Linked DNA regions of Struthio camelus. The protein of the gene in region 1 purifies or fractionates together with the protein of each later gene. This does not show direct contact. Links are inferred from orthologs where the notes say so. Each region holds a gene or a part of one and is shown on either strand. Other genes may lie near its edges.

Region 1 (9,889 bases):
GCCTGACAACCTTCCCTTTTCCCTGCTTGCTTTCAACAGTATTATGTGAGCACAAGAGCACAACTAATTGAACTTCTGCTAAGTACTTGCCCATGATATGCATGATCTTCTCCTGTCACTTTTGCAGCAGCATGCCTTTCAAAGTTACGGCATATAAAAATAGGCAATGTCAAAATAAACGTATTGTATTAGCGATAGTTCTAGATGTGGACATATCTGACTGGGGCTTAAAGCTCAGGTCCGGAACGCTAATGGTCATTAAAGATATTTTTGCAAGTTTTCGTAAAGCAGGAATGTTACCTCTAATCACCTGGCCAATGTACAAAATTGAAAATTATGTTTAACATCATCTCCCTAATTTCCTCCTGCTATTTCACCCAGTTCTAGTATTCATTACTTCTTTTTTTCCATAAATTACTTTTATGTTTATTCTCTACTGTTATAGGTGACCTAGAAAGGAAAAAATAATTGGTTTGAAATCTGCTTTTCTTTATTTTAAATACAAATCCCTTTTTCCTATCCCTGTTCTTACAGCTCCCAGGCATATGAAGTCTTGATTCCTTTTTTGCTTGCTTGTTCCCTGAAAAGCTATGTGAAGGATGCGGAAGAATGGCTGGGAAATCTTTTCACCACTTAATTGAAGGTATAGGAAATGCTGCAACTCTCTTTTCTGGAAGTAATTATTGGGATAAATACTTTTAAATAAGGATAATCACTATTTTAAACAGTATCCAAATGTTTCCAGGTTCTCATATTTTCTCTCTTTAGTATTTTGATGTCATATGCTTGCTGAATCTTCACTAAAGTCTTCTAAGAAAAGAAGGATAGATAAAAATGCAGCTTCCCAGGGAAAGAAGTAAGCAAGAGAATAACCTAATCAGGCTGTCTTTATATATGACAAGAGAACATAAATTATTTTATTACTTTTTTACAAATCATCTTTTCAACAACTGCCATCTTCCTTTCCAGTGCTGGCTGCATTTCAGAGGTGGGTAAAGTACAGCATTGTATCATTTGTTAAACACCATGTTTCTTACCAAACTACTTAAACATAACATACAACAAAAAGCATCAGCATATACTTTACTGCGGCTTTCCAAAAGGTAACCCATCTCTACTAGTCATGCAGACACCTAAATAGATCATTTTGGTGCCCTCTGGATAGCTGCTGCTTAAAATATCTGAAGCACAAAAAAATACAGCCTTAGCACAGGTTTTTTCAATATTAGTAGCTTTTACGTGACTGACTATCCAGAGCTCATTCGGGTACAATAATTTTAAAAATCTAGTAAGTCCATAAAAGAGGTTATGACTCTGCTGGAAATAGACATAAAACCAAATGTCAGCTCTAAGAAAACTGATTTTCAACTCCCACATATCAAGGCTGCTCCTAGTGTTTTGACTCTTCTCATTCCTGCGTTTAGGATTGTCCCAAGCTGGCAGCGCTCCCTGTTTGTTTAGAAAAGTCCCTTCATGCAGCCTGCTCCTGAACTGTACCTCTGTCACATGCAATATTATTTGTCTCTCTGGTATCAAAAATATATGTACTTTTTAGAGAGATTTTTAAAAGGGAGAGGCCGTGCATTTTCACAGCGTAAGGAGGTGGTCAAAATAGTCAAAAGGCTACGAGATTGACCGCAGTATGACAGGGTCCCTCTCTTGATCTCCCTCAGGCTGCAGTCACTGTGGGGGTTTGGCATGTTAAGACATTAGCAGGCAGAGTCCCAGCCTACTTAAGCAGAAACCAAAAGGAGTGTGTCTACGTACTGCAGTGATCCCTTTCCCCTGCGGTTTCAATGGTCTTTCACATCATTTACCCACCACAGAGCAAAGATTTTTCAAAAGTGCTCACCCCAAGAAGTTCAGCCTTTCTCAGAACCTGCAAATGCACCACAGCAACAGCCTAACACTGACATCCAGTGGATAAAAACATGCATTTTCACTAGCCAACTTTATCCCATTTTCTGGACAGCAATGGTGACAGGCAAAGTGTGACAAAATAGCAAGAACTATTTTGTTCTTAAGTGTCTGGACTTTATGAGATCCAGAATCTAGCCCGGAAGCTGCAATCCCCTCCAATCCACTGGTGAACCTGGATGAGAACTTCTGAGCCTTCCATTATTATTTTTAGACAAATCAATACAATCCGCTCGCTTTCTGCAGTTCACATTTGTTCTGTAGAGTGAAACTATAGGCACAAAAGAGTGTGCTATCTTTTGCTGCACTGAATGAAAGTTGCTGGCTTCCTAGGCCTATGCAAAATAAATCTTCATAGCTTCACCCTGCTTTCCATGTACTGCCGTAAGCACAGCTGCAAAAACCCTGAGCAAAGCACATGAAGGAAAAAGTGGCAAAAGTATAGCAATGAGGGGAACAGGAATTTAAGCAGTGATTTGTTTTTATTCTTATTTTTACTTATGGCAAAGACAAGGTCAGTATCTTGGGCAAATCCTTCTCTTCCAGTGTGTGCAACCTATACTCACTGTATGCTAGTGATTTCTGCTTAGAAAGAAGAAAAGAAAGAAGATTTCTGCTTAGAAGTAAGAAAAATAGACATGGGAAGAGAAGACGGTCGCTTCCTGCTCAGTGAATAAATACTGAGGAATAAAGGAGACACCTATACACCCCTAATTTATACAACTATTTCATGTTGATTTATATGGTGCCTTTTGCATGCTGTAAAGCACTACAGTAGCAAGTATATATAGCCAGTATGAAGTCTGCTCCATCTTAAGGGACTTTTTCCATCACTGATCAATGAAAAAAATCCAACTACCATTCCTGAATGGGGAAGCCTTCAAAAGACTAAAGAGTGTTTACTGAGTTATATAGTCTAGGTTCACATGGATTTTGTCTGCTTGTTCCTCTAACGGGTCCTTTCGGTCATTCTATAGCTGAAATACATATACAAAAAATATTGGGGGGGGGCTTTATTGGGAGGGGGGGAGACAAAAAAAATGGAGCTGAAACGACTCTGTCTTTGCACTGTCACATCATCTCCCATTTCCAGCGTGCTTTTTCCATGACAGCAGTACATGTTGTTTTTTGCTGTGCTCACGGCTATTCCTCCTCGTGATGACTAACTCATGAAAGGCTCTACAGCTCTTCCAAGGCAGGCTGTGTTTCCACTGAACACCCAAAGGCCTACCCAGCAGCGTGACAGGGACATCCCTGCTCTATATTTCTCTGTTCAGCACCAAAATGCTATTTTCAGCTGCCCCAGAATTCTGTTGATCAGGCTGTAACAGAATTCTCCGGAGAAGAGCAAACAAAAACATTGCACTGGCATGCAGCCCTGGGTGAGGTCAGGATGTGACCATCATTAAGGTAACAGCAGCCTTCAGAAACACTGGAGAGTTAGAATAAGGAGAACGAGAATGAGTCATTCGGCACACACGTTTGGCACAAGCAAAGATGCCCTCTCGCTCGCTCTTCTCTAGCTTACACACCGTCCACACAGTTCCATGTATTCCTCTCAGCACTCTCCTCATATCCGTTCAGAGAGTTACAGGCTCCTTTGCCTACGCCCTTTTGCTCTGCCAGCGCTAAGCCCTTCTTTGTCCCTTGTGGGTCCTGCTCACGCATGGCCATGTTTTTCCTTCCGTTTCCCAGATCAAGCGGCACTGCTCCATGCCCGCTCTCCGTGCTTCCCCCAGCCCCGGGCTGCGGCTGCGTTGCACCTCACCCTTGCCTTGTACTGGTCCCCAGGCCAGCACCTGCCGTGGCCCCTCACTGCCCCGTCTCCGCAGCCCTACTTCTGCCTCAGCCCACTCACTGGATACCAAAGGCCAGCATTTATTTTTGATACTTAAATTTACAAATGATACCGTAGCCACCATAAAACCACTTTGCACAGGTTTTCAGGATTGCTATTCACAGCTTCTATCTGAAAACTATTAAAATTTTTAGTCTGTACAACCTGCAGAACAAAACAACTGTAGATACTCAGGACCGAGCTGTTTGGAGTGGCCTCATGGCCTAAAAGCCTCAGGCTTTGCTCCAAAGGAAACCACAGCCGGTTGTCAAAGCTTGAAGGGCAAAACACTGCTTTACGGGAGTTAATGGCCAGACTCCTATCAGCCCTAACAAAGTGCAGATTCCATCCTTAATTTTAAAACACATGATAGTTGGGTAATAAGGCGAACGCAGATTATTGACCCCTTCGAGGCCGCCTAAAACAGGCCTCGACAGCTCGAGGCAAACCCAGGGGAAACAAGAACCCCCGCAGTAAAGATATGGACCATAAAAGCACCCACAGCGGGTCCACCACGCTATGTTCTTGTATGTGTATGTGCAGATGTGCCCAGACACACAGACAAGGGACCCGGAGGGGGCGGGGGAGGGGGGGGGACCGAGGTGCCGCCATGTCACGCTGTGACTGACATCCCGCGCTTGGCCTCTCCCTCCCCCCCGCCGCCGCCGCCGCCAACGGGCGCTGCGGAGCCTCGCGGGCCCCCGCGGCGCCTTGTCACGTGCGCCCCTGCCCGGGCCACGTGGGGCAGGACACGCAGCGCAAACCCAACAACCGCCTGCGGCACCTCAGGCGGCCAGGCACCGCCTTCCCCTCCCCTCCCCTCCCCTCCCCGCCCCGCCCCGTGCCCTAGGAACGAGATTGACAGTAAAATCACCCAATCAAAGAACGACGGCGGCGACACCCGCCCCGTTGCTGCTTTATTTGGCGGGTGACACCAGGGGCCGCTGCCAGTTGGCTGCGGAGACGCCCGCCTGCCGCCAATGGCCTTGCGAGCCCCTCGAGTGACGTCTTCTCTGCCCAATAGAGTTGGCCGTTCCCAGGCGGGCGTTCCCCTAAGGGGAGGGGCAGGGGCAGAGGCGTAGAAGTCGTTGCGGACGGTGCAGAGTGTGGCGTTGTTTCCATTCCCCGGGGTGCCTCGCGTCTCCGGGTGGCGACAGCCGGGGCCATGTTCGTTACCGTGTGCGCCCGTCACTGTGTCCGGCCCTTGAGGCTGGCAGATGAAGTAGACACAGTTAAGGACAACTGACGTAGGCTCTCCTTCCGCCTCAGCGGAGGAGGAGGGCCCGCGGACGGCTGCGAAAAGGCCGCCAAGCGCCGCAGCTCGGTGGGCGGGAGTGCACGCTCGCTATGGTGTGACAGGCACATAAAAGTCACCAATGGTGTGCGAGGGTACAAGCTGCCACCCAATCCGCGCTGTGGGAGGGCGGGGCAAGTAGGGGCGGCCAAGTGGGTGCCCCATTTTAGGGGCAAATCTTACAGCCAACTGGCAGGAAGGAAGAAGGGGTAGGAGCCAGTGAGGGTTGCGAAGGGGCAATGCCAAGATATGACAGTCAGCAAATGTAACCAATGAGTGCGGGGGCAGTGACGAAGCAGCCCAGTCAGAGGAGCTGAGAGGCGGGGTCCCCCTTTGATAGACAAGTTCCGTGGCTAATGGGCGGAGAGATGGCAGGGGTTCTTCCCAATGGGCAGCGTGCAAGGGCGGAAAGGGGAGAGGAGAGAGAAGACGAGCAGGCGATGAGCCCAATCAGCGCGGGGGTCGGCGCGGCGCCGTCCAATAGGCGGCTCGAGGGGCGGTGCGGGGGAGTGTCTCGGTGTGTTTGGGTTCGTGCTCCTCGGGGGAGGGAGACGGCGGCGAGGAAAGTTTTTTTTTTTTTTTGGGGGGGGGGGAAGAAAGGGGGAGGGCCAGTTATCGCATCTTGTTCGCGTTTGTTTTCTGGGTTCGCGTTTCCCCGGCGGGCGGGCGGGAGGAGCCGCCTCCGGCACTGAGAAAAAGGGGGCTCAGCGCACCGCGGCGGCGCCTCCTCAGCGGTGAGTGCGGGACAAGCTCCCTCCTCCCTCTCCCCCTCCCCGCGCCCCGGAGGAACAGGCGGGTGGGCGAGCTGGCTCCGGGCCTCCCTCAGCGTTACCTCAGGGCCCTTCCCGCCCCTGGCGCCGCGCGGACCCTCGCGCTGCCTGAGAGGGGCCGTTGGCGCGGCCCGCGCGCCCCCTCCCCCCGCGCCGAGCTGCGGTGCCGCTGGGGGGGGGGGAGGGGGGTGGCTCGGCGGCGGCTCAAGGGCGCTGCTCCCCCGCCGCCGCGCGCCTGTCCCGGGGCAGAGCCGGGCTCGCGCCGCCCTCGCCGCCGCGGCTGCGCGCCCCTCCGCCCCCTCCGGTTTCCTCGGCGGGACGCGCGGGCGGCCCCGAGGCCGCTGCCTGGCGCCGCGGCGCGCAGCGCTGCGCTCCCGGTGGCCCGGTGGCCTCCCGCTGCCGAGCCCGCCTCCCTCCGGGCAAGAGCCTCCCGCCCAGAGCGAGCAAAACGTAAAACGGCGGAAGGACGCCGAGGAGCCTTTCTGTGGTTGGAGGAAAAAAGTGATTTTTGTGTCGTGTGGGGACAATCCTGAGGTTATGTCGATACCACTACAAACCACACTGGATGTGTCGAACACGATGCTAGTTAAAATGTGTGTATGTGGGTGGGAGGAGTGACCGTGCTTAGAGGTGTGTCCCAGGCACGCAAAAAAAAAAAAAAAAAGTTTCCTGAGCCGTTTGTAGGAAAATAAGCGAATATTTGTTTCAGGAGACGCTTCAGCAGCATTGGATAACACTGGTTCTAGCATGGCATCTTGCACACCCAAATTTTCTTTACAATGCTCCATGTAGCAGAATCTTAAATAGGACTTTTTTTTTTAAATACTAACAGGTTTCAACAAAATGTTTTTTTTTACCTAAAATAAGCATGGTTAAGTACAAGATACTTCATTTTTCTTAGTTTAATATTGAAGGTTTTTTACTGACACTAAGGACATCCATTTGTCTATCTGCATAGAGCTTGCAGAGTACCTTTAGAATTAACTAATATGTCCATAGTTATTATTTTTAGCCATGACTTATTAAGTTTCAATGACCCAGATTTTTGTCCCCTACAAAAACCGTGAATCTTAATTTTACTGAAAAGTAGTAGGTAGAACTTTGTGGTTTGTATAGCTCCATATTTGAAAGATCTGGTTTGCTTATTAGTCTCTAGCAAAATTGCTATTCAGGTAAATTGAATTTTTTAGTTTTTGGTGTAAGTGGTGTTGGGCAACAGCTTTAGTTCACAGAATTATTAAATAGGTACACAGATTCAACCAGCTTTGCAGTTAGTATGTCTACAGTGCAATTGCTCAACAATTCTGTCTTCTCTTACCGGAGTGGCTGTGATGAGACAAGATTTCTTGGGAAAGTGCCTGCTGTTGAGAATTGAGTAAATGCTCTGATCTGCTGTATTACCTGAGATCCTAATTTAAAAAAGAGGGTCAAGTTTTTCTACGTGATCTGTAGTTAGCGTAGTGACTGCGGTGTAGATTTGCCTTGGAGATTTGTTTAAAATGGGTGGCTTTTCACTTGTGTTTGGTAACTCAATTGCAGGTAAAACTAGTCAGTCCTGCAGTAAAGAAGTAGCTCTGCAAAAAGTTGAGGCTGGGGAAGGAGGAGTGGAACCCTCTTGAGGTAGCAAGCGTGTTAGCTTTCCTGCTGTAAAGTTCTGCGGGCAGCAAGATCTTATTTCATAGAAGCTAGGAGAGGTTAGCGTTATGCTCTTTCACCTTGCCCAGATATGTTGTACGTAAAAGTTCTATTTGTGAACATACAATTTTCTGTAAAACTATGTAAACATGTATAAAATTAGCTCCCAATTTTCTCTGCTAATTGGTAAAATTCTACTGTGCATACTTTTTTTTTTTGTGAACTTTCAATTCAACAGTTTCAGTTTCTTGGTAATGTTGTTATTGAGATGTTTAGTAAAGGGAACAACTTCAGTCCCATAAAGTAGAAAGAACAACTGCAACATTAGTTATAAAACAGTCTATGTATCCTGATTAAGTAGTCATATGTCTTGGTGTGTTACTGCAGTTTTTATATAGCTGTAAATTTGTCTAGAAATCTAAGTTTTCACTTATAAATGAGGTTTTGCTACATCAAATATTTTGAGAAAAAGTCTTGAAGGCGTGAATCAAAAGTATTGTCTACCTGAGTTTGTGCGATTGTGCATTCTCATGAACTCATTGAGGTAGAACGTGTGTCACAACTTTGCTTGGTGAGGTGTATTTGATCATTAAAACTTGAAATAGTATGTAGCTTACTGATGTTGGAGAACAACTTGAAGAGTAGAGAGCTTCAGGAGGAAATGATGCGTAGTTCTGAGACGCTATATTTTACCTTTGATTTTCTTCCTTTCATAGGAAATAGAAAAATGGAAATAATTTGTTGTGCAGATGCATAGTATGCATCATGTATACAGATAGTTGCATCCAAAATGATGGGATGAATTAGAGATCTGCCATACAATAAGTCATTTGAAAATATCTTTAAACAGTTTTTGTTATTTTAGGGTTTGATTTTTTTTTTTTCCTTCCCCCAGCAAAATTAGTGTTTCTGCTCACAGAAGAGTTTTAACAATTAAGCTGTATCAGCTGGAGATCATAAAATAAGCCTAAAACACAAGTCCTCTTCAAATTCTAAAAAAAAAAAAAAAAAAAAAAAAAGCTTAGTTACTGACTTGAATGAATTTATTAATAGTCTGCGTAATAGTTCAGTTACTTTATTCTGCGTTTTCTGCCGAACGCAAAGGTTTTTGTCCTAGTCACTTATTGCTATTATCATTTCTTCCCCCAACAATATCTTTTTATATATAGATACTATCTGGTTTGTGCAATAATAGTAATAATGATTAAGTGTCATTCTCTGCCTTCTTTGCCGTGACTTTTCTCAGTAATTGCTCTCTAGTGCTATTATGTTCACAAATTCCGCAGTGCATTCACAGTTCTTTTTTATTTTATTTTATTTTCCCACTTAACCTTTTTCTACCAGTAATTTCTGGATCAGTATATCTGTCATTGTGAAGAATTGGTGTTGTTTGTCTTCATCTGATAAATTAACCATATTTAATGCATAGTTAAGGGATGGATCTGATACCACCAAATGTATGTCAGGGTTTTTTTTAACATGGAAGTTTTCTGTCACCTCACTGCTTATAATGTGTGTGCCTGAATTATCTTTGGAATTGCCTTTAATGATTTTTATTGTGCTTTTGGAAATAACACTTGTGAAGTGTTGTATTATCTTGTGGAAAAAATAGTAAGATGCCAGTCATCAGTTATAATAGGAAGGACTTACCACAGATATGTGGAATTATCCACTAAGAACATACATTTCTAATGGTTTAACTAACAAAAAATGAGGTTACAATAGAATTAAGATTTTTGGATTCTTGCAGATAGTCTTCCTTAGCTTAATGTTTATTGCCTTTCTCTCTTTTCAGATAAAATACATATGCTAAGGTTTGCTCTTTCAGCACATAGCATGTGGAATAGGGACTGAGGCATCGTTATTAATTTGTTGTGAATCCAAACTAAACTTTTTGCTACCGTCTGCTAATAGAAGTAGGGGCACTTTTGGTACTTGACCAGCTGTCACTGTCAGACAAGGAATTGCCAGTTGGTATTTCTGCTTGCAAGTTGACTAGTGTAGTAGTAATCAGGATATTCTGATTTCTGTTCTGTGTAGTCTTCAGCATATAGAAAAGCGCTCTATCATACTTCTCTACATTTCTCCGCTTTACTGTTCCTATCTCCTTTGCACTGCACAAAAACAGTGAAAGCATTTCTCGTTATTTGTGCTTCAGGGAAGTAAATATGCTTTGCTGCAAACATTTCATGTATTTTTTTTTCCTGTGGAGCAGTAGGCAATGAGTATATTAAATAAATTTTCCCTTTGCCTTTTTATGGCGGTAAGAAGGGAAGCATCTTTTTGCACTTACTATGGTTTGCATGTTGTAGGGGAATGTTCTGAGGTTTTTAAGTTTTCATCAGCGTAAGGGTTGTGGTTGGCGTTTGGATGTGCTCTATGTTTACCATGTAGCGAGCTATGGAGATGACCTTTTCCAGTTTCAGCTAGCCAGTA
Region 2 (10,099 bases), on another chromosome or scaffold:
CAGCCCCTAAAATAAAAATAAAAATACAGTAACTAAATAAGTGCATATCATGTTGCCCTTGGTAGATTAAGCAAATCAAAAAAAGAAAGAAAATAAGCAATTAAGATATTCACATCCCATTTATCTTTTTGAACCTCAAGAACTGGTTTTCTGATGTTTTCAGATATCTGTCTGCCCGCATTCTTAGCGGCCAAAAGGGCAGTTTGGATTCATACAGGTGCAACAAAAACACGCAACTTTCAGAAGGTCAAAGATCATGTAGTCTCAACTTTCACTATTGAAGACAATCACCTCCAGGCACGATTTACAGAAATATTACAGACCTCTGTCATCAAGAGATGCTCTCTCCTTGTTGAGGTGACCTGGAGAGCCTGTTTCACAGCTGCCCTGTCCACTGTCAGAATCACTATCAGTGGTTTTCTGCAAGTCTGATTTCAAATCTTCTAAGTGAAACTACAAAGCAAAGTAAAATCATCCTTAATATGGTAAGTGTTGTTTATGTAGTAATGACTCATGCAGTTTAACTTAGTCCAAGACCTTGGCTAACTCTTTACATAGGAATATATGCACACATATTATTAAGAATTAATTCACCTTTACACGGAGGGGAATTATGCAACATCAACCTTTATTGGCTTTTAAATATGTTTAATGTGAGCTTGCACAAGGAAAAAAAAGAACATACTGGAAGATCTCTACTGACATTACTCAAAATTACTAGAATGAAGTAATTGATGAGAAACTTTGAAATTTCATCTCCGAAAGCGGCATTTTACACAGTGCAGGGGGAGGGACCAGACGCTTGTGGGTGCTCTCTAGAAAGCAGCCCTGAGACGAGGCGCGGGGGCCGCGCACGGCGACGCAGGCCGGAGGGAGAAGGGTGCTGGCCCCGCACACGCGGGCCCCGCGACGCTTCGCTCAGGGCCGGCCCCGCTCCGTGCCGGCCCCGGCCGCCCGGGGCCCGCAGCCGCCGGGGCCGGCCCTCACCGGCCGCCCCCGGTGACGGCGGTGCCGCCTAGGCCGCAGCGCCTCTCCCAGCACGCACCGCGCCCGGAACGGGCACCAGCCTTCCCAGCATGCACCGCACCCGCCCCCCGACAGGGCAACCAACTTCCCAGCATGCACCGCCCGCGCTAAGTGGAATGAGCCTCCGCAGGGCACGCTGGGAAGCGTAGTCCGTCCGAGGTACGGGGGAGGCGAGTCCGGCGAAGGCGCGAAGCCGCCGGCGCGCTCCGGTAATCGAGAGGACACTGCCGCCTCACTCGCTGCCCGTCCCCGCCGGCCTCCCCGCCGCGACCAGAGGAGCACCAAGCCCACGGGAAGGCAGCGGGCCGCCGCTGGCCGGCCGCACAGAGCAGCGGAACTCACCTCACCAGGAGCCGCCGCCATAGCTCAGCCCGAGCGCCCACCCCGGCACCCGCGGCCCGGCGCCACACAAACCCTCCGGCCGCCCAGCCGGGTAGGAAACCGCTTCGAGTCTTCGCGCGCTGCCCAAGGCCCGCCCCGCCTCTGGGGCCAACCAATCGGCACTTAGAGCTGCCCTGACAGCCCCGCCCCCTGCGAGCTTTATTGGACGATTTCCCGCGAAGTCCCGCCTCCCCTCGCCTCGCCCAATCGTGGCTCTCCCTTCAAGGCTTTGCACGCCCTATAAGCCCGCCATTGGGCAGCCCCCTCCCCCTGCTGTCAGAACCTTGGAGTGACTCGTTGGCCGCGGGGTGGTTGGAGGGGTGCGCTGCCAGCCGCTCTGGCCGCCGTGGCGGTGCGAGGTGCCCTGACGGTGGCGGCGGGCCGGGCCGTGGGCCCGGAGCGAGAGGGCCTTGCCGGGCCGCGGGGGTGGCGTGGCGAGCCCGCTGCGGGGGCAGAGCCGCGTCGGCGTGGGCCTGCCCCCGCGCGTCCGGCGGCGGTTAGGAGTGGGGGTGTACCGGCCTTCCCGCTGCCGGGCGGGTGAGTACGGATAAGCGCTCGCACCGGAGCGCCGGAGCATCCCGCGAAGTGCAAACAGGAACCTGCTGTCCGCCCATGAAGGCAAACCCGGGAGGGGAAGGGGGAAAAAAGTATATACTCTGAAGTAGTTGTTATCCATCGCAGTGCTGCGGGGGATGCTGAACAGATGGGCTAATCTGCTATGATAGTTCCCATCTAGCCCACACATCCTAGAATGGAGAAGTGAGAAAAGCAAACGCCCCTGAGGCTTACTGCAGGCGTCACAACGCAATGCTGGTTTCTGTGGCGGTATTTAGTAACGGGAGAGGCAGCTGCTGGCACTGCAAAAACATCATTAATGAATATGGTTAAGATACCGTCTCTCAGGTAACCTGCCTAAGTAGATGTAAAAGTAGATGTAAAAGATGTAAAAGAGAAAGGAAATAAAATGAATGTAGATGTTTTCAGCATAAGGGTGGGAGAACTTTCAGAAATAAGGTCCTGACCACTTTGGCTGTCAGGATGCCGCAACTTATACTTATTTATCAGGTTAATTGCTTTTCTGCTTTTTTTTTTTAAGCTTTTCATGCGTTAAATACAGGCTTCTTTTGTCATATTCAGCATCTTACAGGACCAAGCCTTTGTACTGCAGATTCCATGAGGCAGAGATTGTGTATTTGTTTTTTAAGTACTGTTTAAATAGCACTATGCACACATATGTATGCTGAATAATAGCATAGAAATGTTGCTGGCCAGCATGGGTTTTTTTTTTTTTTACAAGTCTTGTAACGCTGGTGTTTCCCTCAAATATTCAGCTAGTGTCAGGCAGTTATGAGACCTGCAGATTTGATTTTCTTTTAAAAGGTTTTTGATGCTTCTACTTGTAGAGAAGGTCTTGAAAAAATAAATGTTGCAGGTTTAAAAAAAAGCAAATAAAATGGACACAGCATTTATTATTTACAGAATGTTTTGACTTCTGACCTACTTGTGAGTCAGCTGAGAATTGTTGACTTAACAGAACTCAATGGTAGCAAGAGAAAAGTGGGATGTGCAAGGAAGCCGTTCACTAAAATAGCAAAGCTTCTTAAAAGGCAAAGCATCAGTAACCCCTGGGCTGAAAAAGCAGAGACAAACTGTGTTAAACTGCAGGTAACAAAATCAAAACTACTGGGTTGCACTGCATGTCTAGGAGCATCTCAGCAAGCAGAGCGCTGGCAGGACCCTTGATTTTAGGTTCCTGCACGCTGTGTCCTCCGCGACCTAAACATCTGAAATCCAGCGTCCGTCAGCCCCTTTCTCTCCCAAGGCGTATCCTCAGCCTTATGAGATCCCTCCTGCGGCTATGCAAGACAGAGGGTCTAGCGGTTGCTTCTGCAGCAAGGGCTCTACTTTAAGGGCCTCTCCCTGGCTGTTAATTAAAACTAATAATAAAATAAAGCCTACCAAAGTTATTGTCTGTGAGCCCACCCCGTTGCCAGTGCTGGTTGAAACCAGCCCGTGGGATCTTCCCTGATGGAAGGGGGAAGAGAGGTTGACCAAAACAAGCCCAAAAATGGGTGTACGGTGTGAGTCCTGAAAGGTGCACCAAGAGTTTAATAACCAAACTAGCTGGCTTAATAACCAAACCAGCTAATTCCCTACCACAGTACTTTTTCAGAAGGTGCCTGAGTGACATCCCATGGTTATTATTGATCTCTGCGTCAGCTGTTAGCTGCTGGGTAGACACCGATCATTAGCCCTGGCAAACAAGCCTATCGCACTTACTACACATTTTTCGCCCACAAAATTTGTTAGTGGAAGTGTTGGCCCTGCTTACAGCCCTGAAGGGCATTAAAATTTGCAGCCGTTCACGGTGACTTTTACACGTTATTTTTTTCAGGTATTTTAACCAGAATTACTGCTGTTTCGCTGGTGTAGGAAGTTATACCGGGTGTAATTAAGTTAGGCGAGTTCCCCGTTTCGGGGGTGGGGGACGGGAAGAGCGGAGGAAGTCGTTACCGCGGGCTGTGGGGTTTAGGCGCTGTATTTTGCAATGGAAGATAAACGCAGAGTTTGAGAGACGCAGTGTCACTATTTCCAAGCTTCGGGTGGTCGGAGGGCTAATTCTTCAACCTGTGAAATTCTGGAAGGAGAGGAGAGAGAGAGGGAAAAAAGGAAGTTCTCTAATAAAAGGACCTGAGTAAATACACCCGTGCAGTCAGTAAAGGAGCTTTACTGCGCAGAGATGCCAAAAAGGGGAGGGGGGGGCTGAGTTCCACCTCCGAGGGCAGAGTGCGGGGGAAAACCTGCTGATTTCTGACAAAATGCCCCCAAATACACGGGGTGGGGGCCGGGGGCGGCGCTGCTGTCATGGCGGGGGCGGCCCCGTCAGGGCGGCGCTGTCATGGCGGGGGCGGCCCCGTCAGGGCGGCGCTGCGAGGGCGCCGCCCCCCCCGCGCGCGGGAAGCGGCCGCCGGCGCCGCCCCTCACCTGTTGCCGCGCCGGCGTCGAAGGGGTGCGGGCGTGCGCGCCCCCGGCGCCAGGGGGCGGAGCGCGTGCGCGCGCGTGCCCGCGGCGCCGGCCAGCGTGGAGGCGCCTCTTCGTCCTCCTTCTCCTCCGGCGGCTCCTGCTCGCTCGCGTGCGCGCGCGCGCGCGCGGGGAAGGGGGGGGTGGCGCGCGGCGGCGGCGGCGGCGCGCGCGGGCTCGGCGGCAGCGCAGCGCAGCGGGGGGATTGTTTGCGCCGCCGCTCGGCCGAGCGCAGCGCGGTAGACCGCTCCCCGCCGCCGCCGCGTCCCGTTCCGCCACCCCCCCCCCTCACCCCGCAGCCAATATTCCCGAGATCAAGCGTTACGCGGCGGCGGCGGGGCCGGCGGCGGGGCCCGGGGCGGTCGTCGGGGCCGGCGGGGACCGCAGCGAGGCCGCCGCCGCCATGGAAGCGCTGGGACCCGGTGAGAGCCGCGGGCGGGCCGGGCCGGGCCGGGCCGAGGGCGGGCGCGGCCTGGCGGGGCGCGGGCGCCGCCGGCCCTGTCAGGCGCGAAGGGCGGCGGGGCCGGGCCGGGCGCAGCGCGGAGGAGGCCGCGGCCCGGCGGGAGCTGCCGCAGCCGGCGCGGCCTGGGCGCGGAGCGGGGCCGCGCTGCAGGCCGGCTCTGACCCGCCGCTCGGCCCGGCCCGGCCCGGCTCCCCCCGCCGGAGAGGAACTTGGCCGCGAAACTTGGCGGGCGGGTCGCAAACAGCAGAAGTTTGGTGTTGGGGCTGCCGGGCGCCTTCCCCTCGCCAGGGCAGATAGGGCATTGCCGTAAGCGCAGCTGCGGGGCTCTAGGCGTGGAAGTGACTTGGAATCGCGATGGCACGGAGGTGTGACAGCACGCGTGGGCTTCCGACCCTGCCCGCCAGCGCGCTTGCGGCAGGTCTTTTCCTAGTGACGAGTTGTAGTGTTTGGCGTGAGTCTGTTTTGTTTTTAAGGGCTTACGGTTGATACTTTCTGGAAGGGTGAGCGCTGATTTTTCAAACAGTCTGCCGTTCAATATTGGCCTTATTACGCATGTGGCGTTTTCCTAATTCTATCTTATTCTGTGGCTCTTCTTCCATAAAATGTCTGCGAGATGTATTTCTTGACCAAAGCGGTCCAGTGTATGTTATCTACCATATCTGTGATCAAACCCTTGGTGTAATCGAAGTAGTGTTAATTTCGGTGCAATAGGAAAGTTTACTGACATGAAGATGCAATTCCAGACAAACGTCAGAAGAAGATTTTAAGGTAGTTAGTGGGGGGATTGCTTTCAGCGTCTAGCATACTGATGTATGGTGTGGTAGGTACTCTCTGACTTCTAAAGTAGGAGTAGATCCTCTTTTAGTTTTGTAAAACTACTTCCTGTCTGAAGCAACTTGGTTGAGGGTAAGCTGTACATGATCAACACATGGTAGAAGAAATCAAGAGTAACAGCTTATTTAACCCTGCCTGGGCTGATTAGGCCAGAATCATGATAAAATCGGTGTGACTTGCAGGGAAGCCTGGCTTCAAATGAGAAAGCAGCTTTTAGCTTATTCTGTTTAAAGTTACTTCTTAAAAGATTTCAGGGAAGATGATGTAACTTTGATCTCCTTTTGTCAAAACTGGCCTAGGTCAGTGTTGCCACGGCTGTTTACAAAACTTGTCAATACTGAAGAAGGAAAATGGGTAAATATAGTTGTCATTTAATCTCTTGCAGGAGGTCAGTGCCTGCACTACTTCAGACTAATTAGCACGGGATTAATGGATCATCTCTCTAGTATCCAAATAAGCACAGCAAACTTTGATTGCCCTTGATGATTCATGCTTGTTGGGATAGCTGTAGTTTTTTTGTTTTAAGTGCTAACTGTACCTCACAGCCTGTTTAACTCTGGCATTAGGAACTTCTCATTGACTGACTGCAATTGTTCATATGGATGCAGAGCCGATGGTGTGTCGAGTTAGAGGTCTGCGGTGAGAGCCACGGTGCTTACTGCAGCTTCAGAGAACTGATGCATCCAGTGGGCTGCATCTGCTTACATACTCTTAAAAGTATTCTAGCGTTTGTCTCCTCAAATCTTACTTTTAATTGATAATGCTAGTAGCCATTAGATGGCCTGCAGAACCAACACAGAAAAAGCTCTAAAGCTCCCTGGATTTGCAGTCTTGGGTTTAGTTTAGGATTATTTTAAGTTTCTTGCTGCACGTTGAAGTTTATCCAAACATGAGCCTCTCTCCTCTTTTCTCCTCTGGAGCTATGAGCCTCTGATTTAAATGGATACTGCCAGGTTGACACAACCTCATGATACTAAGTTGGGCCCTAAGTTTTAATGTTGCTTTAATATTGCATTCTTACATTCCATTATTTTTTTCTTCCTCCTCTTTGCTACTCCAGCAAGTGTCACTGGCAAGAAGAAACTGTCTGTAGAATGGAGGGAAGAAACTTTTGTTATACCAAGTGCTGGCACATACAGACAAAAAAAATGAAAATATACTAATTCAAATTGCTTTATGTGCAGTGTCAAATGAGGCTGTAATAGATTTTTTTTCCTAAAAGTCTGTTTAATCTTGTCAACATGGTATCTCAGTCTAACACTTTGAAGAAATTAACTAAAGATTAGAGTGACTAGCTTGCATCTGAGTACTTTCTTAAGCCTCTAATAATTTCTTCCATATAAATAAGCGCAGCTTCTTCTGAAGCTGTTACTTTTGTCCAAATATATTACCTTCTCCTCCACATCTATTAAGAGACTATACCTGTCCTTATGCTTGTTCCTTACTGTTCTTTTTAGAAGAATGCCTAAACTTTTTCTCATTCTTTGTGTTAGAACTTGAAATTTGCCAAAATTGTGTTCCAGTTGAAAAGTATTTCACTGTTAACAGCAGTGATGTGTTCATGATATAAAGGATATGACAAAATTGTTTTTGTCTATATGGAAATATGTTTTTAATTTAGTTTAGAATAAATATATCCTTTCCTCCATTTCCAGATTGCATCAATTTTCAGAGAAAATTGGGAGTTTATTTCCTGAATGTAGCAAGGGTGACTTGCTACATCATTAACTTTTGAACTTTAAATCTATAATGAAAAAGTGTGGCTGTTCTTACCATAAATGGTAATAGGAATCTATATATAAATATTTATATTCCTACTGCCATACGAGATATATATATATATAGAAAGAGAGAGAGAGATAGGAAAATAGACTATGTAAATAACTGTATTCCATCTTGGGAGTTCTGTCAAGTTCCTAAACTACAGTCATAAACAAACATCACTACAATTTTGAGAACGAAATGTAGCATTAACGTATATATGCTTTAGGGAATACATTGTTGTTTTGTACCTGGAAGAGTAGAGCTGTTGAAAAGCCATAAGCTGCTTGGAACACTTTCATTTGCAACCTTGGAAAACTATGTAAGATTTTTCTGCCCTGTCAGAAAGCCTTCCCAACTATAGTACACCTGAAAGGATACTGCAGTGAATGATAAGGTATATCTCATACATATTTATTTGGCTTTCATAGGGCCTCCGGCAAGCCTTTTCCAGCCACCCCGTCGCCCTGGCCTGGGAACTGTTGGGAAACCCATCCGCCTCTTAGCCAATCATTTTCAGGTTCAGATCCCTAAGATTGATGTTTATCACTATGATGTAGATATCAAACCAGAAAAGCGCCCCCGAAGAGTGAACAGGTATGAATCATTTAATACAAAAAGTTTAGATTCCTCAGTTTAAGGCAACTGTACACCCTAGAAATTTTTCATCTGCTAAAGAACAGTGTATATATGTTCTGTGCTTAGGAGTTGCCTTATCTTTCCAAGAGGTATATTATCCTCCTCCTTATTTTTATTAAGATTTTTGCAATTGGATTGCCATATAGAAGGCACTCAGAAATGTATTATAAAGAAGAATCTTGCCTTAAACTAAAGCTATTTTTATTCTCTAGTCTACAAGTGAATATCCCTGCAATCCATTACACAAAGATGTCTGTTAGCAGCTGAGGGGAGGAATTCGGCTTAGAGATTGACACCAACGTTTTTAGGTGTCCATACATGGTTATTTTGTCAGTGTAGTCAATTTAATCTGTAGAACACCCCAGCTAACCCGAAGATAGATGCTTGTATTTGCTCCTATATTTGTACAGCTCTCCGCGTTCCACTGTCTGTATTCACTACATCTCTGCTGACGGTAATGGGAGCTTAGACACCTGCATATGTGTTGAAACGTAGGCGTCCTAATCTGGAGGGCGCTCTTATTCTTGGTGTCTGCTAAAAACTTGGGTATAGTCTAGTGCCTTGTTGTTTCAGATACTCAGCTCCTTTAAGAAAACATGAATGCGGAATTTTAAATTGGTGTAAGATCATTACTGAATTTTGCTAGGCTCCAACCTAACTGAATACCTCCCTCTGTAGAGAAGTGGTGGATACTATGGTGCGACACTTCAAAATGCAGATATTTGGTGATCGGCAGCCTGGATACGATGGGAAAAGGAACATGTATACCGCGCACCCGTTACCTATTGGCCGGGATAGAGTAAGTGTTATGAGCAGTACTAAGTTTTTTATTGAAAAAATGTTAGTGCAGTTTGAAAAGTGATCATAAAGCTAAGATGCTGTTACATGTATTAGTGTAGCTTTGGAAATTACAGGCAGTGCCAGGGAGGGTTCCCTCAGAAATAAGGTGCTCTGCTGAAGTTTGTCATCTTCAGGTTTCTAATTCCCAGGTCTTTTGTCAATGCGCTTGTCTGTGATAGCGTGAACTATTACATTGCGGTTTTTCATCTGCAAGGAAATTTTTACACCCTGGTGCAAACTTACTTTTTCTCTGTTATAACACTTTTTCTGTTGCTAAATGATAAAGTAGTTGTAGTTGACAAATACGGTGTTCTGGTTTGGCTGCACTGTAGAGATATGTCCTCATGTTCCACAAGAACTTACGACACAAGTGCTGTCAACAGCCAAATCAGCTGCATTAGCCCTTAATGTGCTGGGCCATACTCCCCAGCATGTTCTGACATGTTCTACTCGTGTTCTGACAGATTGAAATATGTATTAAAAGGTCCTGATACAAAATGTAAATAACCCCCATTTACTCTTCTCCCCAGGGATCTGGTTATTGCTGGTACAGTGCCATGAGGAGTACATAGGATGAGTTCACATTTACCCTTTGGGTTAATGGTGTGTGAGAATAATTTTAAGTACTGTGCTAAAACTCTGAAATTTGCGTTTCCCAATGATTGTCCCTTTTGACCGAAAGGGGTTTCTTGCCCTCCTGTTAAGGACATAGAACATCATCTTGCTATCAACTGGCTGACGTTTTAAAAAAAAAAAAAAAAGACTCTCAGTTCTCCAGAGCTTTGATGTTATCATACTAATAATTACTGCTTAAAATTTACACGTAAAGGTACCTCAGTGCAGTTTCCTCAGATGAATAAATTAAAAGCTTTCAAAATCCCAAGGAAACTAACTGATTGCAACATTTTAAGAGAATTATGCAAACTAATCATCACAAATGTAGATTCAAAGGATATCCAAGAGAAAAACATAATGTTGCTTAGCCTTGTGGTAGTCTTCAGTCCATCACAGAAGTTTGTGCTTAATTTTATTCTGCCTATGTAAGGTGGATATGGAGGTGACACTTCCAGGAGAGGGGAAGGACCAGACGTTTAAAGTATCCATTCAGTGGGTGTCAGTAGTCAGCCTTCAGTT
Region 3 (9,902 bases), on another chromosome or scaffold:
AATGAGCCATGCAACCTGCAGGTTCAGAGCAGACCTGTATGGGCAATTGGAAATGTCTATCCATAAACTTGTTCCAACAGAAAAGGCTGAAATGATCTTGCATGGGTAAGAGTGGGGCTCTCTGTAGACCCAGCTACTGAATTCTGCAAATAAGTGAACTCAGGTGTGCAGACATATCTAAACACACGCAACTTTACAGATACCAGGGAACCATCTGCACAGGGAACAAAGATATGGGTAAAATGTAAATAACAATTTTAAATTTGATTTTGAATTTGATTCATGCCAGATCCAGAGAACATTTTCGCCTATGTATTACCTGTCTCAAAACCACTGAAGTCCATGACACTAAGGCGCCAAAGCCAAGTAGCTGGAGAGGCAGCGTACTTTGACATACACTTATGACAGCTAATAACCAGGAGTTCAACTGAAGTCAGTTCTCAGATAGATGATATTAAAATAAAAAAATGGAACTGGCTATCACGTTCCAAAAAGTTTTAAGTGCATGCTTGTTCACTGAAGTTTTTCTCTCATTAAATTGAAATGGGCTGGAAACAGAGGAGTTTGGATCCTCACAGTATTTGATGCAATTCAGCTACAGTCAGCATTTCACTATTTGTTCTCAAGCCCTTCTTGAGTAAACTGCCAGAACTGGGAATGTATGCTTTTTCTTCCCCATGGAATCTGACTCAGGAGTGTCACCCCAACATATTCACATTGCTTTTATTTAGGTCTTCTGCCAACAGTTACAGGGTAACAGACACTTCGGACTGCAAAGTCAAAGTTGCAAGCAAAAATCAGGACCAAGGCAAAGAAAAAAATAATCCACAAAGCCAATCAAATCAAATATAAATACAATGTTCTGGAGCTCTTTAATCATACCATTTTCTTTAATAAAGAGGTGGTTATGCTCTTACAGTATTTTCTTTTGGCCTAATCCAAGGATTTTGTTACTCTTTACCAGTCTTAATTCCACGCATACAAAAAAATTGATATTCAACCTTTAAAATATAAGCCATATTTTCTTAATAAAATAAGTTTTGTGCTGCTGCTTGTTTAGTAAGTACTGTACATCAACTGTTCACGTCTATTTAACAAATGGACCATACAGAGTTCAAGCTAAAGCAAAAAAAAAAAAAAACACAAGAAAAATAACAACCCAAACAGAGTGTCTTGTAAACACTCTATGTACAGTTCAACACTTGCTTGTATAAAGGAGGTACGAAAGGGGCTAGAAATCGAACACAAAAGCACTGGAATCCCCATCAGTTTTCTTTCACAACTATTGAAGTGCAAATCACTCAGGCAAGATATGAATTTCACTTGTTTATTGCTGTCCTGCAGTCTGGCTTCCCTTCCTGAAAGAATCACATTCTTTTATTTCACGCTAATTTTCCAAGAAGAAAACCTTCCATGAGGCAACGCTGAATGCTTGGGCTTTTCGATCCTAGACATCAGGTCATACGCTTGCAAATACCAGAACACTCCGACTGCCTTCCCACTAAGCTCTCCTGAGGGCTGTTCTGCCCTCATGCACCCTGTTATGTTCAGATATGAGATAAGGGAAACAAACAGCATTCAACAATTGACAGATAAATGAAAGTTATTCCTCTTCCCACAAATCTGCATGCACTCGGCAGTTTTTCCAGTTGCACAACGGACACGTGCGCATTTAGAAGGTAGAGACTCGGGAGCCATTCAGGATGACTGTGTGGGGTTTGTGGCTAATTACAAATCGTGATATGTATACAGGTTAACACCTATCTGCTATGGGTAGCAAAACGCACAGCACCTCAACATGCAATTACTCATTTGCATCTTGGACAAGAAAAGGGTAGAAATACTGAATGCTGGAGCCGTGTGGAAGGTACAGTGCATAGTCCATTATACAAAACATGCGGGTAACTCGAACCCTTTCTAAAACCTCTTCAAAATGGAAATATGGTTTAAAGGGCACAGCAGCTGAGTTTGGCTTATTTATTTCTTTAAAACCATGAAAAACCCAATGCAGAGGGTGAAGTAAGGGCAGAACACGATCTGCAAGTCAACAGCTGAGAGTTTCAGAAGCCATGAAGCTTTTGTGTAGTTAAAATTGCTGTTAAAAGTAGGTGCTACATCAGCAAGTCTTCATTCATAGTTTTCTATGAACAGCCACCTTACAAATGAGTGCAAATCTTAAAGGTCCATTTTACATTTCAAGTCTCAAGGTTAAAAAAAAAATTGTTACAGAGCAACAAGCTGTTTCTGTAAATGCCCACGCTATCTCTTTTCAAATGGCTAAAAATGGCATGTGCTATGCCACAGCTACTAAAAGACATTTCAGAATTCTAGACCCAACTAAAACGTTAAAATAAAAAGTAGAAATCAAAATACCTTTGCCCTTAGCTGCCAAAGAGCAGCAAGGTGCTTTCGGTCATAATGCTGGTGAACAAACTGATTTGCAGAGAGAACCTTGACCATAACCCCCCAGTTTTATTCTCAGTGAGGGGCTTCCTAATACAAGGTGGGTGGGTATAGCCCCTCTGAGATCATTTCGCTTTCAATGAACACAAGCCAGAGTTCTGAGGATGAAATGGGAGAGGTGCTGAATTTGTGTCACTATGCAGGCACTTGTGTATAGGAATGTAGGCGTCTCATGTTGACACTTAGTGTTCACTCATTCCCTACTCTCTAAAAGCCCCCTTAAGAGCTCACTACCCTACTGACCATGAATGGTTCTTGGCTTTCTCCCCATCACCTTGTAGGTATACAGCAGTGGAGTTTGACACAAGGTGCAAAGGAGAACATGAGCCAAATACTGTAGTCTTGAGAAAAATACAACTGTGCTAAATGTAGGATCTTCACAAAACGTGACATCAGTGGGCTCAGCACTTAGTTTGCATAGCATATTGATGTCTTCATTTTTCACAAACGTGTTGCCCCAAAAGAAAACCAGTACACTGAATTCTTGGTATTAGGACAGAGCAATGGGTCAACATGACTAATGCTTTTATGAACTACTAGCAAGGCAAGTTTAAACATCAGAAAGGACAAAATAAAAAGGCGTGCTTTATCAATGCATGCTGACAAAGGGCAGTGCTTGTGATAGGCTTTGAAAATGCGTTCACTTTTGGCAGTAAATTGATAACAGAGCTCTTCCCCTTAAGAGCTCAGTAGCAGTGTACACGTAACTCTTTCTCTCGAAGGAAGCTTTGTGCACATTTTCATATCAACAAAAATCAGATAATCTGCCCACACGCTATTGGTAAGGAGTTGCTACTACTGCCCTGCTGTGCAGAATGGTCATTCTGTACAGCAAAATGAGTCCAAAAAACAGTCACTGTTTTACTGTTGGAAAAAAAAGGCTTTTTCCCCATTACAAACAAAAATTAGTAGGAGTTTCCCCCAGGACAATAACAAGTATTTCGTAAGTCTGACTAAGGAATAATCTGGTGTGCTTTCAGAATAAAAACCCTGTGCATGAAATCAGTGATACCATGACACAAAAGAGCAGCAAAACCTAGCAGCAGAATCTATGACAGTTTGGACATGCTGAAGTCGGGGTACGTGGTAGTTCAGAAAGCGGTCAGCCCATACGGACACGTGAGGAACGCACATGACGCATGGGAGACGAGGGCATTGAGGAATACCCCAAAGCTGCGTGGACTGCAGTTTGTAACGCACGCATCGGACAGGAAACGTTAGAGATCTCTGGCGGGAGCGCACAGCCTCAGGAAGTGCAGTGATGTAAACTCTGAGAATGTTAATGACTTGTGTATTTTGGCAACAGACTCAGTATCATATAAAAATAATGTTTAGTAAAAAAATCCCGGTGTCCATCATAGAAAGTCAGAAAAAAAATAATCGATAGCAATTTCTGTCCTCATGGGGTGAAGATGCCCCCATTTGTCAGAAACAGTTTTAAATAACAAGTAGTACATTGGAAACAAAAATGGGTCAGCAGCCATTAAACTTGTCCTATATGAAAGTGCACATCTTTCAATGGAGTTCAACCACCGTGAGGTTGTGATCTAACACAAACTGCAACTTAGGACCATAAAAATTAACTCCTTCCGATGGAAATATGGACCACCATCAAGACAAGGTTACTATTTTCCTTACAAGATTAAAAACATTGAAATTTTGCAGCATCATAGTAAGGCACTCACCCATGGAAAAGTCTGTGACTGTTGCTTCGAATGGCAGCAGCTAACTAGCTTTTAACACAAGGAAGACAGTTTTCAGTTCTGAGCTAAGTGCTAGGGTGCCTTACATTATATGGGGGGGAATTATTTGGGGGGGAACTGTTAGTGTTAGAATTCTCCTATAAACTAGTTGTTTTTCCCCTTAACCCATTAAAGCATCTCATATTCTAAAATATTAGTTTTATAAATCTAGTCTTCTGTTTTAAGGCTCTAAAAATCCCCTCCCCCCAACCCCACAAAAAATACCTACCAGCGCCTGGTGGGCAACGGAGGACCAAATCCGCCATTTCACAGTCAGGAGTCTATAGTATTGCATCTTAAAAATGAAAACCTGCTTCTGCCTCCTGGAAGTTTTATCCCTTCCTTAAATGCCTTCACGTGTTTGGTCAGGTCAAAATTTTGCAAAGCCAGAAAAATTAAAAAAATAATCAGTCTCTTCCAATCCTACAAAGGTGTTGGATCTTTCTGTCCCGTGGTGCTGGTCTCCTGCCTCAAATCGACGCTGCCTGCCCTGCAGTGATTTCTCATTGGAAAAAAAACAAGGTGTCCCAATGCTTCCTTTTTTGTATGGCTCCTACAAATCTGAAAGCTTTCTTGAGTGAGGTAACAAAAGTTAGGCTTTCAAGCAAAGTACATGGTACGTAAAGTGTCCTGATGAACCTGCACAGCCTTCGCCAAGGCTTGGGGGTCTCTGCCGTTGCTCTGTCCAGATATATGGCTGCCCTCGCCGCTGAAAGCGCAAGAAAATCACTGCGTAATTATTTAAGGCTTTCCCCGTAGGAACGTTGGGAAATCCCCGCGCAGGTCAGGGACCAGGATGCTGGATGCCATCTGCACCTCTGCCTTGCACCAAGGTCAAGGCGAGCCCCCACAGTCACCTCACGGCAGCTCCCGACCAACGGACCCAGCCCACCAGCCACCGTGGGGGATGCGAGACCCCCACGCTGTGGCGCTGGGGCCTGGCGATCGCTCACCTCTTCCTGGCTTATTGACGCCGCTGGGGAGAAGGATGGTGGCACGCGGCTGTCCCCGAGCACCAGCATGCTAGGTGCGCTGGGAACCGTGCCCAGCATGGCAGAGATGCCGGCATCCCGAGGAGGCTAGCAACGCTCAAACACCCCGAGGTGGTCACTGCAGGGCCTGGGCGAGCCCAGGACGGGGTATTAGCCCCCTTTATCCCCGCTCCTGCCGGGCTGAGCCCTACGAGGACATGGCTACGCGCGAGTCTCCCCAGGAACGGCTCTGCAGCAAAGCTGCTCCCATCCAGCCGCGTTCAGACACAGAAGCAGGGTGCCGCTCACTGGCTGGTCACCCCTGCGGTCCCTGCTCCGGGGACGCGCGTGGCCGCTCACCTGTCGTGCTCCTTGTCCACGAGGTGGTAGCGGGCCCTGAACGCCACCAGCCGAGCGTAGTAGGCCGGCGCTGGGATGGAGACCGAGCGGGTGCAGCGCACGTAGGTATGGCACAGCTGGTAGGTGAGGATCTGCAGCTCATCCGCGGTGAACCGGTTGTCATCCCAGAGGACGTAGTAGTGGGACGGCCGGCTCGTGCCCTGGGGAGGAGAGCGGGCGGTGTGGGAGGTGCTGCCCGCGCCCAAACACGAGGCGGCCGCAAGCGCTGTGCGGGAGAGGGGCCCGCAGGAGACGTCGCCCCCTCCCCGAGGTGAGGTCGGTTCACCCCATCCATCTGCCTCTCATTTCCACGCTCTATCCTGCCCTTCCCTAAGCCAAGGGCACCGCAAGACAGGAAAAAGCACTTTGCACCGAGGTGCAAACCAGCGCTAAAGCAGCTGCCCAGCCGCCCCGTTGCCAGACGCCCCGGGGAGCGAGCAGCAGCGACCTGCCGACCGGCGCAGCGCACCGCCTCCCTGCTGCACCGAGCCGGGCTCCCCCGCGGCTCCCCCTGAACCGGGCCAGCTCCGCGCTGTCCTTGCAGGCAGAGAGGAAGCCAAAAAGCCTCCCTTGCGGAAGCAGCTATAAATCAAGTGATTCAAGCCACAATTTTTTTCAGTGCAGCTTCTGACTAATCTTGGCTGCCTGAAGGAAGGCAGCTGCAAAGCAACCCGCCTGCTCCGGCCGGCTGTCCCCAACTCTCCACCCGCAGCCAGACCACGGATCCCGTCTGACGAGCAGGAGCACCGCGAGCCCAGCACGAGACGCCAGCTGACAAGCTGCTGATTTGGCCTCTCCAAAGGAGGAAATTCTCCAAGAGATCCTCGGCTCCAGGAGGGAGAGTAAGTAGGTGCCATGTACCGCAGCGGCTGTGCCATCCTGGCACCTGCTCCCCCAGGCGCTGCAACGGCCGCTCGGACAGAGCTGCCCACGTCTCCAGGGCCAGCCTTCGCCTTCCCCAAGGGAGGCGGCAGGAAGGGCCCCGTCTCACGTGCGAGAACGCAGCTCACAACCACAACAGAGGAAAAACGGCAGGATCACAACATCAGCTTGGAGCACGGTACCTGAATGCCTGCATGACTGCACAGGTAGAAGTCAAACTCAAAAGGGTGGGTGATATTTGTATCTACTGTTGTTCCCGCTGGGATGTTCCCACTCTTCCCAATCTGCAGGGAATAAAAAGAGATCCAAGCACCACAGTGTTGGGTTATTTCCAGTTTGGGAGCACCGTGCCGAGCAGTTCCACAAGCGCCTATTAAGTGGGGAGCAGAAGCACCTCTCCCTGCTCTGCCCTCTGCCCAAACAGGCTTGCTGGCATTTCCTGCCAGCATCAACACCAGGCACGACACTCAAACAGAGCAACCTACAGCTAAGGGGAAGCAGGCAGGCTGAAGGCTGGGCACCGGCCCATCCTGCTGCAGGAACGACGATTAAGTGGGCAAAAAGTCCAGGGATCTCTGCAGACAGTTTACGCTAGAGCTTCTGCCGTAAGGTATCACGGCTCTTATGCCAAGATCAAAACCTGTTCTCAGTCCCAAGGTTAAATCCTCATGATCAGGTAGAGGCAGAGTCTGGTCAGATTAGATCAAAATTAAATTTAGATCAAATCTAGGAAAAGTTATAGCAATCAATGAGTTACTCGGTGCTTTTGTTGCACAGGTAACACTCTCCTCCCAAACTCACAATTGCTCGATTCACGCCCTCAATAGCATATACACCTGCAAGGCAGAACAGCCCACCGCAAGTCCTGTTTTTTGGACTTCTGCTTGCACAGCACAAGATGTGAACAAGCTGTGAGCAAGCATGGGGTTATTCCTCCTGCCCCAATGTCAGCAGCTACAGCAATCACCAAAACAACAGATGTTTTCAAGCTGACAGAGGCCGTTTCAAGAGAGTCACCAGGATCATCTGCACCCAGTAACTCATAACAACAGCAAACAGCTGCCTGGATTTCTTGAAGCAGCCTAATCGGCACAGATGCAAGAGTCAGCTTAGCAGCGTGTTTCAGGCAGGGAAGAGGGCTCTGCCTGCCAGCAGGGCGCTTTCCACCCTGCGCAGCTCCGGGCTGGCTCTGCGTTAATGCCAGCGACGAATCGGACACCGCCGGCCCCCGGCGCTCCGCAGCGCTCACCCGCTCGTTCTTGTCCGCGCAGAAGAGGCGGGTGTGATGCCTTTTCTGGACAACGATGTAAGTGATGCCAGGCTGGTAATCCTTTTCCAGTTTGATGCAGGCGTCTCGGATTGCCAAGAGCTCATAGTGAAGGATCTAGAGACACAACCGCGCGCAGAGTGAGGCAACGCACGGGCTGGCTCCCACGCCCAGCTGCTCTCATGCACCCGTAGGGCACCCGCAGGAGCCGACGCAGGTTTAGGCAGTGGCAGGAGCAAGAGACCTAATCCTCTCCCCTGCGAGCCCTCCTGGAAAAGCTGCCTCGGCACGGTCTATACCCAAACACAAGTGGAAAAAGAGGAGAGCAAAACACCCGTTGTCCCAAGCTGCTTGGTGGCCGCAGGCTGCCCTGCACATCCCGAGTGGACTCCCAGATGCCCAGCACCCCCAGAGTTGCAAGCCTTTGGCCCAGCTCCCGCCAGCAGAATTAGCCCAATGCCTCCAGTGTGCACAAAGCCTTTCAGCAAACCCAACAACCTCAAACAGCACAAATGCCAGCAAGGCAAACCCAGGCCTTAAAGCCCCTTCCCTCTAGCCAGAGGCAGGTCGGCTCTGCCGGCCCAGCACGGCGCCCAGGGGTTCCTCACCTGCGGGAGCTGCCCCTCGGGAACGCCGTCGCGGTAGAAGATGATCCTGGTAGGTTTGAAGCGAGTGGATTTGTAGAACTGGATGAGAAGCTCCCTCACCATGTAGGACAAGTCCTCGATGATTTCCTGGCGAGGACGCTGCACGCGCACCGTGGCACAGTACCGGCTGGGGTGGGCATCCATGCTGCCCACGACCTGCAGTGACAGAGGTGAGCCAGGCCCACGAGTTACAATAAGGAGGACGGAGGGGACGTGGGACATTCCTGGCCTTCGAACACCCACAGCTGACAGCAGGCCCGAGCCGTCCCCGAGCTCCCAGACAGTGAGAGAAGAGAGCAAAGACCAAAAAGGACTTCCACGGTGGTGGCCACATCTTGGTTTCATGCTCTGCATGGTCCTCACTGGAATTTCCAGCGAGACGGCGGGCTGACACCGCCGAGCCACACAGCCGCTACGTGTGAACGGGGGTTTTGACTGCTCTGCCCCTGCTTTGCTCCTCCTGCCCAAGAGCCGGGGAGAGCGGGGCTGCCCTTTCCACTTGCTGATGCTCTTCTCCCTCTGTCCTTCTCTTGAGACCTTCTAGCTTCCATAAAGGACTACGCTATCCTGAACTTTCGTTGCCGTGATGAAACTGCAGACGACAGCCCCGGTACGAAACCCCACCTGCAGCTGCAGTGCCACCACTATAAAAGCTATTTAGATCCTTTTTAAGCTCACACCAGGGAGCTCCACCATCAGCAGGTCCTTCCCCCCGACCACGGCAACATCGCAGCTTCCCGGGCAGCTGGAGCCAGGTCTCTGCCCCAGGGCCACCCACCCAAGCGAGCGTTTGCAAAGAGCATCTGCCGGCATCGCCTCTGCCCGCCCCGGAGCTGCGGGGAAGTCCCGGGGCTGACGGGGCTGTCAGCCGTCAGCAGGGAGTTCCCACCGCAGCCTGGAAAGGAGACCTCAAAGACGTCAGGGCCAGAGGCGGAGGGCGGCCGGGCTCGGCCGTGACGCAGGGCTGGGGGCTCAGCCTGAGTCACGGGCGTCCGAGCGGCTCGGGGTCCGCGCGGGGAGACAAAGCGCCGCGAGGCCAGCGGGGGTTTCGCTGCGCGCTCCGCGTCCCGTCGGCCCGCAGAGCCCCATGCCCCCGGCAGCGACAAACCTCGCTGCCCCCGCTCGGGGCCGGTTTCGCTTTTGTTTAGCGAAGGCGGCTCTAGACGTCGGGCTGCATCGCCAGAGCTGATCCGCTCGCCAAAAACGCTTCCTCCGGCATCAGTCTCAGCAGCAGACCCCGTCCTGTTATCTTAATAACCGCCTATGCAGAGGGTCAAGGCCACTTGAAAGCTTTTCCCTCTTCCTCACCTGCAGTTTGAAAAAATCTTTCACACAAACTAGGGGGCGGGGGAAAGCCGCAGTGGTCCTGTGCAAAAAATGCACTTTGAAAATGTTTTCAGAGGGGAAGCGCCGCCGCCAGGAAACAGACTGTTCTGTCCCACCCACCCCTACGAGCGCACAGCCAAAAGCATTTCCTAACTCCTTTTAATTAAGCAAAAAACACTCCTCCAAAGATGCATCTGCATGCCAA

Evidence for each region.
Region 2: the proteins of TNRC6B (region 1) and AGO4 purify together in Homo sapiens (co-immunoprecipitation; 3 studies listed by BioGRID and IntAct, with this or other methods). This does not show direct contact. The link is inferred for Struthio camelus from reciprocal best matches to the Homo sapiens genes TNRC6B and AGO4.
Region 3: the proteins of TNRC6B (region 1) and AGO3 purify together in Homo sapiens (affinity purification with mass spectrometry; 6 studies listed by BioGRID and IntAct, with this or other methods). This does not show direct contact. The link is inferred for Struthio camelus from reciprocal best matches to the Homo sapiens genes TNRC6B and AGO3.

What each region holds. Positions count from the first base shown.
Region 1 is NC_090942.1:57,496,392-57,506,280, reverse strand, and holds the start of TNRC6B (trinucleotide repeat-containing gene 6B protein), read left to right. Parts: upstream 1-5,549; 5' UTR 5,550-5,782; intron 5,783-9,889.
Region 2 is NC_090964.1:10,024,452-10,034,550, forward strand, and holds the start of AGO4 (protein argonaute-4), read left to right. Parts: upstream 1-5,126; 5' UTR 5,127-5,245; coding exon 5,246-5,342; intron 5,343-7,917; coding exon 7,918-8,083; intron 8,084-8,803; coding exon 8,804-8,924; intron 8,925-9,495; exon of another isoform or gene 9,496-9,538; coding exon of another isoform or gene 9,539-9,568; intron 9,569-10,010; coding exon 10,011-10,099. Other genes in the region: CLSPN (claspin), read right to left, coding at 324-453, 1,369-1,389.
Region 3 is NC_090964.1:10,063,866-10,073,767, reverse strand, and holds the start of AGO3 (protein argonaute-3), read right to left. Parts: upstream 4,525-9,902; 5' UTR 4,472-4,524; coding exon 4,435-4,471; exon of another isoform or gene 710-4,434; intron 1-709. Other genes in the region: AGO1 (protein argonaute-1), read right to left, coding at 4,806-4,914, 5,537-5,736, 6,640-6,741, 7,707-7,841, 8,333-8,527.